2 linked regions of the Nothobranchius furzeri genome follow. The protein of the gene in region 1 interacts with the protein of each later gene in a pairwise test. Links are inferred from orthologs where the notes say so. Each region holds a gene or a part of one and is shown on either strand. Other genes may lie near its edges.

Region 1 (8,367 bases):
GTGTCTGCAGCACGATTAGACACGCGTTTATATAGTTTATCAGGAAAATACGTTGATTTGGGGGTGACTTGCTCTTTAAATAGTACCAGCTCTAATAAAGCTAGATTTGATGTGATACAGAAAACTTTATTCAATGTGTGTGTGTGTGTAGGCAGTATTAGCTGTCACTTAACAGCGAGTAGTCCCATGCTCAGACTTCAAACTATAGGTAGATGTCCGTCTTTAGTGTTTGTGCTGGTGTTGTAAACCAGGAGTCATTTTTCCCCAAGACTGAACCACATTGTGTGAAAACTGCAACGTATCAGTTATAACTGCTGTAAGGAACACGAACAATACAAACATTGAATAAAAAAACATAAATTTTTAAAGTCTAATGTCTGCATTTTCTTTAAGTTTCTTTCCATAACTCTTCCTTTGAATCTATATATAAGCAAATACACTGAAAAATATATATAAATGCAACACTTTTGTTTTTGCTCCCATTTTTCATGAGCTGAACTCAAACATCTGAAAAATTACATACACAAAAATCCATGACTCTCAAATATTGATCTGAAATTTGTCTACATGTGTGTTGGTGAGCACTTTTCTTTTACCAACCATCCCACCTCACAGGTGTTGCATATCAAGGGCTGATTAGGCAACATGAATAATCTACAGGTGTGCCTTAGGCTGCCCACAATAAAAGGACACCCTGACATGTGCGCAGAATTGCTTTATGGGGGTTGATGGGGCAGAAAACCAGTCAGTATTTGGTGTGGCCACCATTTGCCTACGCAGGGCAACACATCAATGGGTGACATGTTTGGTGAGTATGCTGGCCATGCAAGAACTGGGATGTTTTCAGCGCCCAGGAATTGTGCCCAGATCCTTGCAATATGGAGCCGTGCATTATCATGCTGCAACATGAGGTGAAGGTCATGGATGAATGGCACAACAATGGGCCTCAGGATCTCGCCATGGTACCTCTCTGCATTCAAACTGCCATCAATAAAATGCACCTGTGTTTGTTGTCCATAACACACGCCTGCCCATCCCAGTACCCCACCGCCACCATGGGCCACTCGTTCCACAATGTTGACATCAGCAAACCGCTCACCCACATGATGCCACACACGCAGTCGGCCATCTGCCCTAAACAGTATAAACCGGGACTTATCTGTGAACAGAATGCCTCTCCAACGTGTCAAAAGCCATTGAATGTGAGTGTTTGTCTACTTAAGTCGATTACGACAACAAACTGCAGTCAGGTCCAGAACCCGATGAGGATGACGAGCATGCAGATGCGCTTTCCTGAGATGGTTTCTGACAGTTTGTGCAGAAATTCTCTGGTTATGCAAACCGATTGTTGCAGCAACTGTCCAGCTGGTTGGTCTGAGGCGATTATGGAGGTGAACATGCTGGATGTGAAGGTCCTGCGCTGGTGTGGTCACACGTGGTCTGATTGTGTGAGGCCGCTTGGATGTACTAGTTGGATGTACAAATTCTCTGAAACGCCTTTGGAGACGGCTTATGGTAGAGAATGAACACTCGTTTCATGGACAACAGCTCTGGTAGACATTCCTGCAGTCAGCATGCCCACTCCCTCAAAGGTTGCAACATCTGTGGCATTGTGCTGTTTAATCAAACTGCACATTTCAGGGTGGCCTTCTTCTTCTTTGGGTAAGGCAGGCTGGATGCCTTGCGGCGTATTGCTGCCACAGCAGCACTAAGCCTACAGCCAAACCTGGCTACAGCTTGTCATAGACTCCAACCGCCCGTAGAAAACATAACGCCTCCACCCTGCGCCACTCCGCAACCTCCAATAATGTCCTCAGACTGAACAGTAACCTCCAACGCACCCAAAGCCTGAAACAAAGTCTGCCACTCCACCACGTATCAGCTGAACCTCAGAAGAACATGCCTAACCGTCTCCAGATCTCCACACTCCCACCTGCCATTTGGGTACTTACCAACCAGAAACAACTTCTCCCCTCAGGCAGCTATGTCCTAGCCGCAGCCTGGTCATGACCACCAGGCTCACCTCTTACGGAAAATATCCCACCCACGACCAGCCACTCGTCTTTGTAAAACATTATAGAGCCACCCAGTGCTCCCCACATCCCAGGAGGCCTGCCACATCCTCATAGCCACCTGACCAATATCGGAGGGACACTCCAGAGGCCCCAACTCCACCCCGAAATCCACATCCTGTGGGTGTCCTTTTATTGTGGGCAGTCTAAGTGTGACGGAGTGGTATGGATGATACCCCATTTGTCCCTTTAATATATTTTTCTATAGTCTGAAGGTACTTTGGTATGTGATGTTTTAACCAGATTAAAATGTGGCTATTGCACTGGTTTTGATGTAATGGGTTTTCATTGTATGTTCATGTAATTACCCTTTTGAATTTAATGTTTTTCTTTGAATCCAGAGTAGGCTATTGGTGCTGATTTTTCCCAGGTGTCATGTTTTTTTTCTTTCTATGTTATTTAAAAGAAGCCATGTGGAGGCTTGAGGAGATTCTTTTTCTGACTTAAAGGGCAAGTCACCCCCAAATCACCTTTTTTAGCTGATAAACGAAATAAACGAGTGTCTAATCGTGCTGTAGACACGTGTCGTCAATAATTTGGCATTTCAGTGCATCTTAGTTAAAATTTAAATATTCTGCCTAAAACTGACAGTGTTGTGCCATTGTCAGGTAAAAACTCTGCACTGTATTTTGATTTAAATCTGCCACCGCTAATGGCTAAGAGGTATGCTATGATGTAAACTGGTACATTATGATGTCACAATGCTGTCGTGAGCCTGTGTGTGTATTTGTTAGCAGCTCCGTCTTCTCGGTCTGCCAGGCAACAGCATTTGTTGCATTTTTCAAACAGGAAGTGAGAGTGGAGATAGACTCTGGTAGGGGTTGACTTGCTCTTTAACAAAAAGCAATGAAATAAAAGCCTGGGTAGCATATTGGCTCCCAAGGAAGAAAAAAAACTCACTGTTCTGCAGTTTGCCTCCAATTCTTTCATCTTGAAGACCTTCTGGCTACACTACCTTCTTCTTCGTCGTGTTTATTGGCGGGTGGCATCTAACTTCTAGGTGCAGCTACACATTATTCATGCTGTCTAATCAGTCCCTTGATATGCCACACCTGTGAGGTGGGATGGATTATCTTGGTAAAGGAAAAGTGCTCACTAACACACGTAGACAGATTTCAGAACAAAATTTGAGAGTCATGGGTGTTTTGTGGGTGCAGAAAAAGTTTCAGATGTCTGAGTTCAGCTCATGAAAAATGAGAGCAAAAACAAAAGTTATGCATTTTTTCAGTGTAGTATTTGAAATTTATAAATGCATATCTGAGCTTTCCAGTAATCGGGTTTTTATGTTATTTAGTATTATTGATTTTTACTAATGTGATGACACATTTTAAAAGGTATGGTAAACTAAGGTTATGGACATATTTCAATGAAACAGGAGTGGTTAGGGTTTATGCTGTAGTAGCAATGGTTATAAATGTGGGTGATTGTGAACGTTGCTCATTTTAAAATAAAACTCAACCGTCCACAATTCAAGCCACATCAGCCCTGGAAGAACTAAATAGAGATTTTTTTTGGGCTAACAAAATAAAAGGTTTTAAATCACACAATTACCCACCTTAGTAAGACAGTGGCTGTTGGCTGATTTGTAAACTACAGTTTGATTCCTACTGTATTCATGTTTATCAGAAATCTTTCCTGTTACACGATCATTAGGTGGGAAACGAGTAAGACTCAGAAATGGGTGCTTTTATTCTGAAAACATAAGCCCCGTTAAACACCGGAAATTCTTCGGCGTGTTTCCAGATAACTCAAACGCATGTGGTTTCGCTCATATAATTAAGAATAGACTTACTAAGCTCTTTTTTGCTATACTGTTTGCTCCTACAGTCTGCTTTGTCTCACAGGACAGCATTACGTCTTCGTTTTCGAGGTAAAAGCGCGACCCGTGTAAAATATGTTACAGCGACGTAAATGCTAGCATATCCAGCTAAAAGTCACATTAATGTAAAATAGAGTAAATAAGAACACGCCAGCTCTTAAAGATATAGATCAAAAAGGTGGTTTTATGTTTTCAACGACAATTGAAAATGTGTGGTTTACGTGGAAGTTGAATACCCACTAGCTTGGTTTGAGCTAGCTTTGCTAGCTTCGCAGCACTGTTTACTTTCGGAAAACCACGTCATATTAACTAGTTCGACTTTTATGTGGCATGTTAGTATTTCACAAGGATATGTATAATGTTTCGTATTTGTTAAGTTTAAGGGTGAACATACACATGGTAAAATGTGTAAGAAGTCTATTCTGCTGATATTAGCTCAGCTAAAAGCCAAATGTAGATCAATTCTATTACCTGGTGTCTGTTTAAAGTGTGCGACAAACGTTGTCTGTATCACATAATTTATTACTTGCCTTTTGACCTCTGTCTTCATTCCTAGCTGGCTGAACTGTATAGATCATGTCACAGGCCACCAAACGCAAACATGTTGTCAAAGAGGTTCTGGAAGACTTCGTCACCCCAACAGAAAACCAGCAGATTGTAAAGGTAAACCATGTTTGCTTTTGCTCCCAGCTGCTTTAAAAACTACTCAAAGGTACCTCTCTAACTCGGATCTATATTTTGTACCTGTGCACATTCTCAGGTTATTGGTACTCGTGGTAACAACCTCCATGAAACAATCACAGCTCAGGGCGAGACCTTCCTGGTGAGCATGCCCACCAAGTTCCGTAAGAACATCTGGATCAAGAGAGGTAACTGATGAGATTTTTAAAATAAAGAAATAAATACACCTCACGCCAGTTTTGAGCATTGCTACTTGTTCCAGGAGCAAATATTTTTTTTATTCTCTGAAATCTTTCCTATTTCTCAATGTCTTTCATGATTTTTTAATGGCAGATAGGTTTTCTTTCTTTGTGTGTTGAGTCACTGAAATAACCACTGTCATGGTAATTGGTAATCAGGTTGCAGGTTTGAGCCCTGCTCAGTTTGTCGCTGCTGTTGTGTCCTTGGGCAAGACACTTAACCCTCTTTCCTGCTGGTGGTGGTGGGAGGAACCGGTGGCGCCAGTGCTCGGCAGCCTCGCCTCTGTCAGTGTAGCTGTGGCTACATCGTAGCTCATCCCCACCAGTGTGTGAATGTGTGTGTGAATGGGTGAATGACTATGTTGTAAAGCACCTTGTGGGGTATTCAAATACAGGCCATATACCATTCCCATGGGCTCAAGCAAGACTGGCAGCTGGCTTGAATAATCCCCATTTTTGATTTTCCTTTTTGTTCAGATTATTTATTGAAGTCTAGGGTGAAAAATGAAAGGAGGCAAAGAAAAGTAAAACAATGATTACTCAATAAAATTACATAAGGTAAAAATAGAGGTACAATGTCAAAAGGAGGGATAATGGAGAAGAAAACAAGTCTTCAAACAATAAAAATATTTTAAAATATATATATAAAAACAAGTCAAGTAATTATACAAAAATGGGAAAGAATTAAATACACATGTAAGTGCAAAACAATATAAAAAACAAGGAACCACAATATAAATGCTGCTTAGTAGAACGGATAAAAAATCAACTGGAGTGTTTATAATTCAATGCAAGTGAAAACAGATCTTAAGTCAATTCTCTTTATGCCAAGTTAATGTAGTAAATTCTTACTTTTGGGCAAGTGGAGTATTGAGTTAATTCTTCCACAACTTCACTTAAAGGGGCATTATGGAAGTGTGACAGCCAAAACATGTGTAGAAATAATAAATGTCTTCTTCATACATTCTCCTGCAATGCCCTGGTCCTGTAGAATGAGCCCTGGCATTTTTACTGTGATTGCCTGTTTTTCTGTAAAATCACAGAAAAAGAGAGATGCTCGGGTCGAGCAGGCTGCTTCATGCGCGTTCACGCTCAGGCATCGCCCTCCGAACCGTTCTTTGAACGTTGTTTCAGCTGTACAGGATATAAATGTTACAGATACAAAGGACGTCACTGGCGCTTTAGCACACCTAGTAAGATGTCTGACTCTCCTGCAGAAGACCTGGGTTCGATTCTGGATGTGAACATAGTTTATTTAGAGTTTCTTTTTTACATTGATATATTTTTTACAGTAAGACGGCCAAATTTTTATTTGAGACTCGCCGAACGGCATTGAATTCACAGATAAAAAAGATGTGGGTTCAACTTTTCACTTTGTCTGCTGTGCTGAAGAGAAAGGTACAGAACCAAATTATTGAATTAGCTGCGTGTTCTCCTGTCCTCTGTCCTCCGGGCCACACACACACACACACACACACACACACACAAGGGACTGTCTCAGCTGTTATTTTCGTTAAGGAGTGTGCACGTACAGCATGCGCGCCTCGTGCACGAGCCTACTATTGAAGCTGCCGTTCCGCTTTTGGCCTGAGGGGGCAATCACGAGCATAAACATTCAAAACTCCGTAAAGTCCCTTTAAATTAATGTTTCTAATTGTCAGGTTTGTTCCTGCATTTTGTTTTTCTTAAATCTCTGCTTCAATTAACCAGATTAGGTTTCTTCATGGAAAATAACAGAGGTGTGTGTGTGTGTGTGTGTGTGTGTGTGTGTGTGTGTGTGTGTGTGTGTGTGTGTGTGTGTGTGTGTGTGTGTGTGTGTGTGTGTGTGTGTGTGTGTGTGTGTGTGTGTGTGTGTGTGTGTGTTGTTTAGAAATCACTGTCAACTCTGCCCAATCGGCATGAGTTAAACACAAGTCCCGCCCATTGGTTCTATTGGGCCTTTTGCAAGTCCATTCTCCAAGGCAGGCACTAATGTGGTTCCTGAAATGGCCTGGCAAGTGTTCCTGTTGGAGCTGTGAGACACGTGCGTGCCGTGAAATGTTCTGTATTACTACAGAATAACAGAAGGGGTTATTATAAGTTATTTCTAATCCTTATTTAAATGTTAGTAATTTTATTTATATTAAATAGTGTTTGAAATGTTGTTCTCCAGGTGATTATGTGATTGTGGATCCCATTGAGGAGGGGGAGAAGGTGAAGGCAGAAATCAGCTTTATTCTCTACAAAGATCATATTCAGCACCTGCAGAAACAGCAGCTTTGGTAAGCAGAGCACAAATAAAGATGCAAAGCATACGTGTTCTGGTCTGATGATGTCCTCCACCTCCTCTTAGGCCAGAGGGATTCACAGAGAAGTCATCACAAGACAAAACAAGCCACAAGCGGCAAGAGGAGCCCGAGGAGAAAGAGGAGGATGAGGGTAGTGACTCTGAAGATGATGAGAGTGACCTCTTTGTAAACACAAACCGCTGTAACTACCAATACAGCGAGAGTGAGGAAGATGACAGCGAGGAGGAGGAGGAGGAGGAGCAGCAGCAGGGAGGACGAAGGACAGAAGGTGGATCTTAGCTGCAGCTGTGAGAGGACAGCAAGCCATTAGCTCTGAGTCACAGCCCCCTCTACTGGCCACTGTGAGACACTGCTGGAGGACTTGAACTTTCAATAATAACGTTTCCTGATTTACTTTAAAAATAGTTTAAGCTATCAAATATGAAGATGTGATATACTCCTGTTGGCTTTCAGATTCCTGCTCAGGCTGTCTGGGACTCGCCCTGCTTACTGCTGCGTACTCACCACTAGCAGTAAAAGCATCTGAGTCAAAGGGTGGTGATGGTAGAAGTCTTACTGGTTCACTAAAGGCTTTGGTGTAACATGCAGGAACATTGCTGCTCTTCTCTAAGCTGCTGTAGATCTTCACAGCCCACTTTCAAATTAAAGCTGCCATTAGCCTCCGTTTCATCCGATCCTATGTTGCTTTGCACGGACCACTGGGATCCATTCACTGGTTCGGACTGCTTTAGCAGGTGCTGTAGCTTAGTGGCCAAAGCACCTGTGCTAACAGGAGATCCCGGGTTCAAATCCCAGCAGTGCCTCTGAGTTGTTTCTGGCTCAATAGTTGTGTGGAAGCACAATGATTCCTGGATGTAAACGATCAAATAGTTAACATGACATTTGATGTACAGATGACTGCTTTTGGCTGCACAGTGGCGCAGTGGTTAGAGCTGTTGCCTTGCAGCAAGAAGGTCCTGGGTTCGATTCCCAGCCTGGGATCTTTCTGCATGGAGTTAGCATGTTCTCCCTGTGCATGCGTGGGTTCTCTCCGGGTTCTCCGGCTTCCTCCCACAGTCCAAACACATGACTGTTAGGTTGATTGGTCTGTCTAAATTGTCCTTAGGTGTGTGTGTGTGTGTTGCCCTGCGATGGACTGGCTCTCTGTCCAGGTTGTACCCCGCCTGATTGCCCATTGACTGCTGGAGATAGGCACCAGCCCCCCTGCGGCCCTACGTGGACGAAGCGGGTTCAGACAATGGATGGATGGACTGCTGGTGGCGGGGTTG
Region 2 (7,722 bases), on another chromosome or scaffold:
GGATCATGAGGAAGGTGGAATAAGTAGGGAGAGCAGAATAAGGACTGTAAGTAAATATTTAAGAATTTATGCATTCTAAAACAGTTTTGTTATTTTAAATCCATATTTGTTTTCATATTTAGTGTTTTTACTAGTTTTTATATTTAAACTGTGACTTTAATAAATTAAAAGTGATATTAACAGAGCCTGACAGGTTTAGAAATGACACCAGGTGACATTTCTGAGATGTTATCAGATTTATTTATTGCAACACTGCATAATTTTTGTTTGTTTTAGGAGGAAAACGATGATTTTAAACCGAGTTTTACGATAAACTCACTAGATGTCGGAACTCTGCAGCCAGGCTGCCGTTGGACTCCTCTGTGTTCATCACTTTAGTGTTTGTGCCCAAAATGTTGAACCTCCGAAACCTGGTTTTAGACACATAATCACTCAGGGATACATTTAACTTCTCAAGAATAAAAAAAAAAAAAACTTAGTTGGATAGATTTCTTATAAACAAGTCAAAACGTTAGACACTTACCCTTTTTTGTCTGCGACATCCCTAAGGGGAAGAAAACATCCATATTTAGAAATGTATGGGTCTGAAAATGTGGAACGTGTGGAAACAGGAGATGATCTTACTTATCAAAAAGAGCTTTGACTTTGAGTTGGTAGTTAAACTCTTGAAGCTTCACCAGAAACCTGAAGGGGGAAAAACAGGAAACTAATCTCAGAAATGCACGTTTATTAAGGTCAAACCTTTCTGCTTTTGAAACTAACGGGAAAAGAGCAGCTCAGTCAGCGTTCGCTCTCTGCAGCAACTCCAGTTAGCTTTAAGACATGAGTTCTGATGGGCACGTGTTAAAGAGGCCCTTCTCTGGCTTGACTCGTGTAAATATTTGTTTCTCAGCTGAAATTCTGTATGATTCTGTTTTCATGGTTTGGTTTAGTTTCCTACCGGAGTTTCACGGTGAACTGGACGCCTGTTTTCAGCACCATGGGTCTCTGTGGGTGGGTGGGCATGCAGGGCTGTCTCTCTATGACCAGTGAGCTACACACACACACACACACACTCATCAATATTGAATACAGACAACAGCGAGATTGCTAACCGATTTATTTGAGGTTTCCTACCTGGAGAGGAGGGTCTTGAGGAGCTCCAGAGCTCGGCTCTCCAGAAACACTTTCTTCTGAGGGATGGGGTCGTTCTCATACGTGAAATTTTGCTCCAACTCATGCATCTTCTTCAGGTGTTGACGCACCTGCTGGAGACTCTCAGCGACTGCTGTGAACCTGCAGCAGGGTGTTTGAGAGTTGAAGCTCCTCCAAGCCTGATCACTTCCTGCTCTCCAGCATGTTTAACATCTCATCAGTTTCAATGTGAATAAAACTGATCAGATTAATGAGGAGCAATGACTGTTACGACCCAGCTCATAAGGCCGCAACATAAAACAAAAACTGAACACATTCGAGAGCTTTGAGTATTTTTTTTTTTTTTATTAAATGTAGCCTATAACCCTCCCTCTGTCTTTATGGGTGACCCCGCGAGGAAAGTTGGCCAATGAGCAGGATTGATGGTTTATCCCTTGAGGTCCACGTGGCAGGGGTGAGGAGTGAGCACCACCTCACCCCTGCCACGTGGACCTCAAGCATCAAACAGTCATCAAACAGGACAGAGAGGAAGAAAGTCGTAGGCCAGCTATTAACAACTGGTTCACACCATAGGTTCACACACACACACACACACACAAACAGCAAGGGGGAGGGGGGTGTAGAGGAAAAGAGAAAAGGCGGAGAGGAAATGGAGGACACCAAGTGATTAAAAGAAAAACTACGAGGCGCGCCTCGACCGGAGCGGAGAAACAAGCGTCTGGTCGGAACTGAGGAGCAGCGACCGAATTACGTGAGCACTTCGCCTCCCGGCGCTTCGGCGGCCGGTGTGTCCCCGGCGTAACTTAGGCTGGACCTTCTACTGTGGCTCTGAGTAACTTTAGTTACAGTTACTTTAAACAATCAACTGATTTTATAAATATAGACAGGCCCACTGTAACATAATGAAGGTTTAAGCAGCTTTTTAAAGTTTTCACTGAATATTTGTGCTGACTTTCCACAACAGAATGACAGTAAAAGTACCAGTAACGTCTTTAGACGTATTTATGTTTATTTTCCACTAATAACATCTCACTGAGAACAGATCCATACTGTTTTGCAAGTTTTTCTTCTTCTTGATTTCAAATCTCTTATAAAACATGTAGGGAAGACGTGCCTATAGGGTTTAGCCTGCATGCACCTGAAACAACAACCGCAGCAGCTTGTCTGCCAGAATCTTCTTTAGGTAAGGATGAACCTGTCTAATTACTGGGAAAGCTGTTTTTGACCAACACTTGATTGAACTCAACTTCCCGCCCCCTCCAAAAAAAAAGAACACAAGCCTCGGGAGACATCAGTTAAGGCTGAAACTGAAAGGAGACAAACCTGCTAATGTTCTGGACAGAAAACTGACGTATCTGGAGGGGATTTTGATGATTTTACGAACTTTTAAGTTCCAACCGCTGCCAGATGTTGAGGCGACAGTAGTGGCGGCGCCGTGATATCGGCTACCGCAGCGTTTTTCCCCTAGCTGTCTCTGTGACTGTGATTGGTCAAATGGCAACTCGTGACCCACTAACAAAGATGGTTTGTGAAGAGGATGAACACTCCTCATTTTTCTGAAACTGATTCTTATAAAGAGCGACTAAAATCCGACCAGACTCGCCTTCCCTAAAACAAAAACTCTTTGATTCATGTGAACGCATTTTTTTTCATAAGCGGCAATTTTCGCTGAAAAGCGTCAAGTTTGCAAGTATGAGACGAACGTATTTTAAAATCACGTCATACGACCCAAATTTAAGACTTTACTAAATCGATTTAAGACTTTTAAGACTTTTTAAGACCCTGAATCAGGACCACACCAAGCCCCTCTGGTCTGGTCTGGTCACCTTCATTTAAACCCTTCATCTTAATTGACTTGGATTGATATTACCACTAATTTTAGGGATTTGGGGGAAAATTCAGGTTCCATTAGATCCAAAAACTACCATAATCTCCAACCTTGTGTATTATTCTGATACTTCTAGATCCAGATGTCTGTCAGATGTGAACTCCAGCTTGATGCCTTCTCCTGATGTCTCAGATTTCTTGGTAACTCAACAGAAGAAAATAAAGTTTATCTGAAGCTTCTGGGACAACAACGGTCTCACCAGTTCTGCAGCTGGTCCACGCAAGCATTGGGCGGACCGCCAATGCACGCTATCTGCTGCCGCTGCTTCCACTCTGGCAGCTCCTCGGAGATCAGGTCGGTTATCAACCCCTGGATGACATTCAGCAGTTCATTCAGGTACACCACAGCATCCTGGGACACGTGCAAGAAGGCACGGAGTTTTAGAAGGTTTGGACTCAGCTTTCTACTATCATAAAACTGTGGATTAAGAATCTCACGTGGCGTTTGGCTTTCAGTTCAAGGCACATCTTCATGATGACTAACTTCTCTGCCTCCAGCTCCTTTGGCGTCATGCCGTTCACGTCGTTCTCTGCAGGTGATGGACATAACCAGACATCAGCTTCACTCAAACATCAGAACAAGCCACTTCAGTCTAAGTTTCCTTGTTCTTCTGGGTCATCTGCACTTTCCTACCTCTGTTCTTCAGCGTGTTGAATTGGAAATCGTATTCATCCTGCTGGTCCTCCAGATTCTTCAGGTTCTGGTCGATAATCTGAACAAAGGAAACTCTCCTTTAGCTGTGGTAAAGGAACAGCAGAGATTATTTAAATGTGGCTGAAACGTGTTTGTTTCACCTGAACAATGTTTCTCATCTCCTTCACTTTGTTGTCCAGCTTCTGCTTCTCCACCACCATGGCTGAAACCGTCCCCTCCTTCTCCTGCTGCAGAAGCATTGTCAAATTCATGATTAAAGCATCTTTAAATAAAATCTAGATGGATTAAAGCAGAGTCTAGCTGCAGGTCTTACCACAGAATCCTTTGCATTGGCCAAGATCTTCTGCTCCTCTTTCAAGTTTCTGGAGATGATCATGGCCATATGGAGGGCGTCCTCCTGAAACCGATCCTGGAGAAACAAGTGCTCCATGTTTACGCAGTCACTTTCTTAGTTTTAACTCACTCTGACACGAGTAGAGAACGTGGGGCTCTGACCTGCAGGTTCCTCTTGATCTTACGGAAGTTGTGCTGCTGCAGGAAGTTGTTCTCCAGAGCAAAGCGGCTGTGCTGATCATCCAGCTGAGCCAGGAGCTCGTGAAACCGAACAGTTGCCAGGGAGTCCTGTGATGCCACCGTATCCCTAAGAAGATCCAAAACAACAACGGAGTTATCTTACAGAGGTCCCACCACGGTTACGCCAGATGTTGAAGGGCACCGTTCATAAAAGCTTTATTTATAAAACATTTTAAACACCTACAGCACCAAAGTGATGTGTAGAAAAATAATAAAACAGGCTACGTAATAAAAATAGTTACAGCAAAAAGACCTACAAGTAAGGAAAAATAATTATGCAATCAGTCAAGATAAAAATGAAAAGTTTAATAAAAAAAAAAAGAAAAACAATTTAAAGCTAATGCCTTTTGTAGGGTTAGGGTTAAACAAGATGGGGTTGAGGACTGCCTGATGTCCAAGGGAAGGTGGTTCCATAATTCAGGAGCAGTTAAAGCAAAGACATGGTCTCCACTGAACTTACAGTTTCTCCTGCATAGGCGCAGGAGTGGAGCTGCACCACGGCTGAAATTCTAGCACCACATCTACGAGACACCCCCCACAGGAGACGCAGCATTGTAGCATTTTGCGAGCAGAACCCAGGCGACATGACTGGCAACAATTCTAGGGGAAACACTGACTTACGCTTTAGGGCTGCAACAAACGATTATTTGGATAATCGATGAATCGGATGGGGTCTCGACACGATTAATCGGATTACATAGGGACAATTTTAAAAACTGCTAGGGAAACGTTATTTCTCTCCTTCCTTCACTTTATTAAACACAACATTATTAGAAAACAGTTCAATAGCAGAAAAACAACATGCCATCACCTAAATTGTCTTACAAGGTGTATAGGCAGAGACCCTAAGCTACACCTATCTGTGACCTAAAATGCTTGGTCCAAGTTAAACAGCTTAAAGAGCAAGTCAACCCCTACCAGAGTCTAACTCCACTCCCACTTCATGTTTGAAAAATGCAACAAATGCTGTTGCCTGGCAGACCGAGAGGGCGGAGCCGCTAACAAATACACACACACTCAGGCTCACGACAGCATTGTGACATCATAATGTACCAGTTTACATCATAGCATACTTCTTAGCCAATAGCGGTGGCAGATTTAAATTAAAATACAGTGCAGAGTTTTTACCTGACAACGGCACAACACTGCCAGTTTTAGGCAGAATATTTAAATTTGAACTAAGATGCACTGAAGTAGAGCTGCTCGATTATGGCAAAAATAATAATCACGATTATTGTGACTGAAATTGAGATCTCGATTATTTAAGACGATTTTTCTATTTATGTTGATTTTATTTGTTTTTATTCAGTCATAAAATTGCTCAGGGCACAATCAGGACAAAATAAAGTTAAAGTTAAAGTCCCATTAGTTGTCACACACACTGATGTGTGTGCGAAATTTGTTCTCCGCATTTGACCCATCCCCTGGGGGAGCGGTGAGCTGCAGACACAGCCGCGCTCGGGAACAATTTGGTGGTTTAACCCTCCAATCCAACCCTTAATGCTGAGTGTCAAGCAGGGAGGCATTGGGTCCCATTTTTTCAAAGTCTTTGGTATGACCCGACCAGGAATCGAACCCTGATCTCCCAGTCTCAGGGCGGACACTCTACCACTAGACCACTGAGCTGGTGTGTGATAAGAAACAAGATGATCACTAAAATAACTCCTGATTCCCAGTATAAAAAGACCAATATACTTACAGCTCATAGTTTATGACACAAGGGCTATAGACCTTGGTTTAACTCATATAAGTCTAACCAGTACAGACCCAAATACCAATATCTTGCAAATACTGACAGCAAGAATTATACAGTGGCATTTATAACAAATAAATGCAAATAAATTGATGTTCACAAAATGTTGTATAACATTTATTGAGTCGTGTCAAGGTGCTGTAGGAGCGTGCACTAGCACTGTCTCCTCAGAGAGATTAGTTATTGTTTATCAGCGTGAGGAACTTATTTCTACCTTATTTATAAACTAGTTATTTACAAGTCCATCAGTTAATGTAATAATTGTCCCAACCACAGCTGCACCCCCCACCTCCCAACCCGGTCTCACAGCAATCAGGGGCAAGCTGCACGTGTGTTTAGCGCGCCGCACGCGCACATTTAGCCGTTTTTAGCGGCTCAGAAGTTACAGTGTGTGTGTCACTCACTCTGGTTAATCCAACAGAGCCAACTCTGAGAGCCGTTTCTGTAGCGACCGACACATCACTACATCATTCCCTTTCCTAATGTTGTGAAGAACGGTCCGGAGCTCAGGCAGAGTGTTTAGCTAACCTGCAGGAAACATCAACGACAGTTATCCTGAAAGTAGCTAAAGGTTACCAGAGATGTTTCTGAGATGTTCGCTAGGTACTTTTAAGATTTAAAAAGTCAAGAAGGGGGTCTAAAAAGCTGTTAGAAATAGCGTCAAAGTCGCTAAGTTGGCAACACTGTGAGGAGCGCTTCATTTGCAACTCAGGGCAGCGCAAGTGGGAGGAGCAAATAATCGGCTTGTTTTGTTTTTTATAATCGTTCAAAACTCAGATCGTAATCGTGATTAAAATTCGATTAATTGAGCAGCCCTACACTGAAGTGCCAAATTATTGACGACACGTGTCTGCAGCACGATTAGACACTCATTTATTTAGTTTATCAGCAAAAAATAAAGTTTATTTGGGGGTGACTTGCTCTTTAAGGGCAATTCTCATCTGTTTTGTTTGATCTCATCTGCAGACATTTATTATAATTGGGGATGTTAAACAACTAATTTTTAAATGTAATTAAACATAGGCTGTGAATTAATCAAAATTAATCACTATTTCCAAAAATGACTGAAAAAATACCAAATAAAACAAAAGTAAATGAATGCCATCCTCCTTACGATGATGCCCTGGGCAACTGCCATAAAGTCACATCAAGAAATGCTGCTGATCATTCCAATGATCCCAAATAGACTCACATTAGGCCACATGAAAGCAACTGAACCCAAAAATATATTAACCAGTAAATAACTGCACTCTCACACAACACGCCTGCAGCAACAGTTAGGACTCCTCCCTCCCTTTTAAAAGCGTTTTCGCTTCTGAGGACATTGTGGTGCTAGTAGTCTGGCCCCGGTGTGATCAACCAGTTTCTGCGGGAATGTGACGGCGGAACCGGTTCGCAGCAGCGCGAGTCCCCCCCCCCCCCCCCTTTATCTAATAGCGTTGCGCTTACGATTTTATAGACTTTTTTTAACGAGCTTAGGGCATGTCTAGCCTGTGTAATAATCCGGGACTTGGGTGAATCACTTTTGAAAAGTTTTTAACTTACCCGGACAAAGAGCTCTCTCCCTCCTCGCTGATGATTCCGACATGCTTGCTTTTAAGATGCTGCATCATCACTGCAGTACTCCCGTGCCATGCTAAGTCTGACCTACAAACGTTGCAGGTAACGAATGTCTTCGCCTGATTTAACTGAAAATGCTCCCAAACTTTAGAAGTTTTTA

What was found. The genes of interacting proteins can lie anywhere in the genome.
Region 2: the proteins of eif1ad (region 1) and stat1a interact in binary tests that used the Homo sapiens proteins (3 or more experiments, as listed by UniProt). The two-hybrid records come from large-scale screens. The link is inferred for Nothobranchius furzeri from reciprocal best matches to the Homo sapiens genes EIF1AD and STAT1.

What each region holds. Positions count from the first base shown.
Region 1 is NC_091741.1:29,806,198-29,814,564, reverse strand, and holds eif1ad (probable RNA-binding protein EIF1AD), read left to right. Parts: upstream 1-3,799; 5' UTR 3,800-3,942; intron 3,943-4,447; 5' UTR 4,448-4,467; coding exon 4,468-4,554; intron 4,555-4,651; coding exon 4,652-4,760; intron 4,761-6,963; coding exon 6,964-7,072; intron 7,073-7,143; coding exon 7,144-7,378; 3' UTR 7,379-7,607; downstream 7,608-8,367.
Region 2 is NC_091743.1:83,714,990-83,722,711, reverse strand, and holds part of stat1a (signal transducer and activator of transcription 1a), read right to left. Parts: intron 4,317-7,722; coding exon 4,172-4,316; intron 4,086-4,171; coding exon 3,990-4,085; intron 3,904-3,989; coding exon 3,817-3,903; intron 3,735-3,816; coding exon 3,656-3,734; intron 3,552-3,655; coding exon 3,460-3,551; intron 3,374-3,459; coding exon 3,222-3,373; intron 1,276-3,221; coding exon 1,117-1,275; intron 1,034-1,116; coding exon 941-1,033; intron 685-940; coding exon 625-684; intron 545-624; coding exon 524-544; intron 411-523; coding exon 320-410; intron 1-319. UniProt on the Homo sapiens protein: Signal transducer and transcription activator that mediates cellular responses to interferons (IFNs), cytokine KITLG/SCF and other cytokines and other growth factors.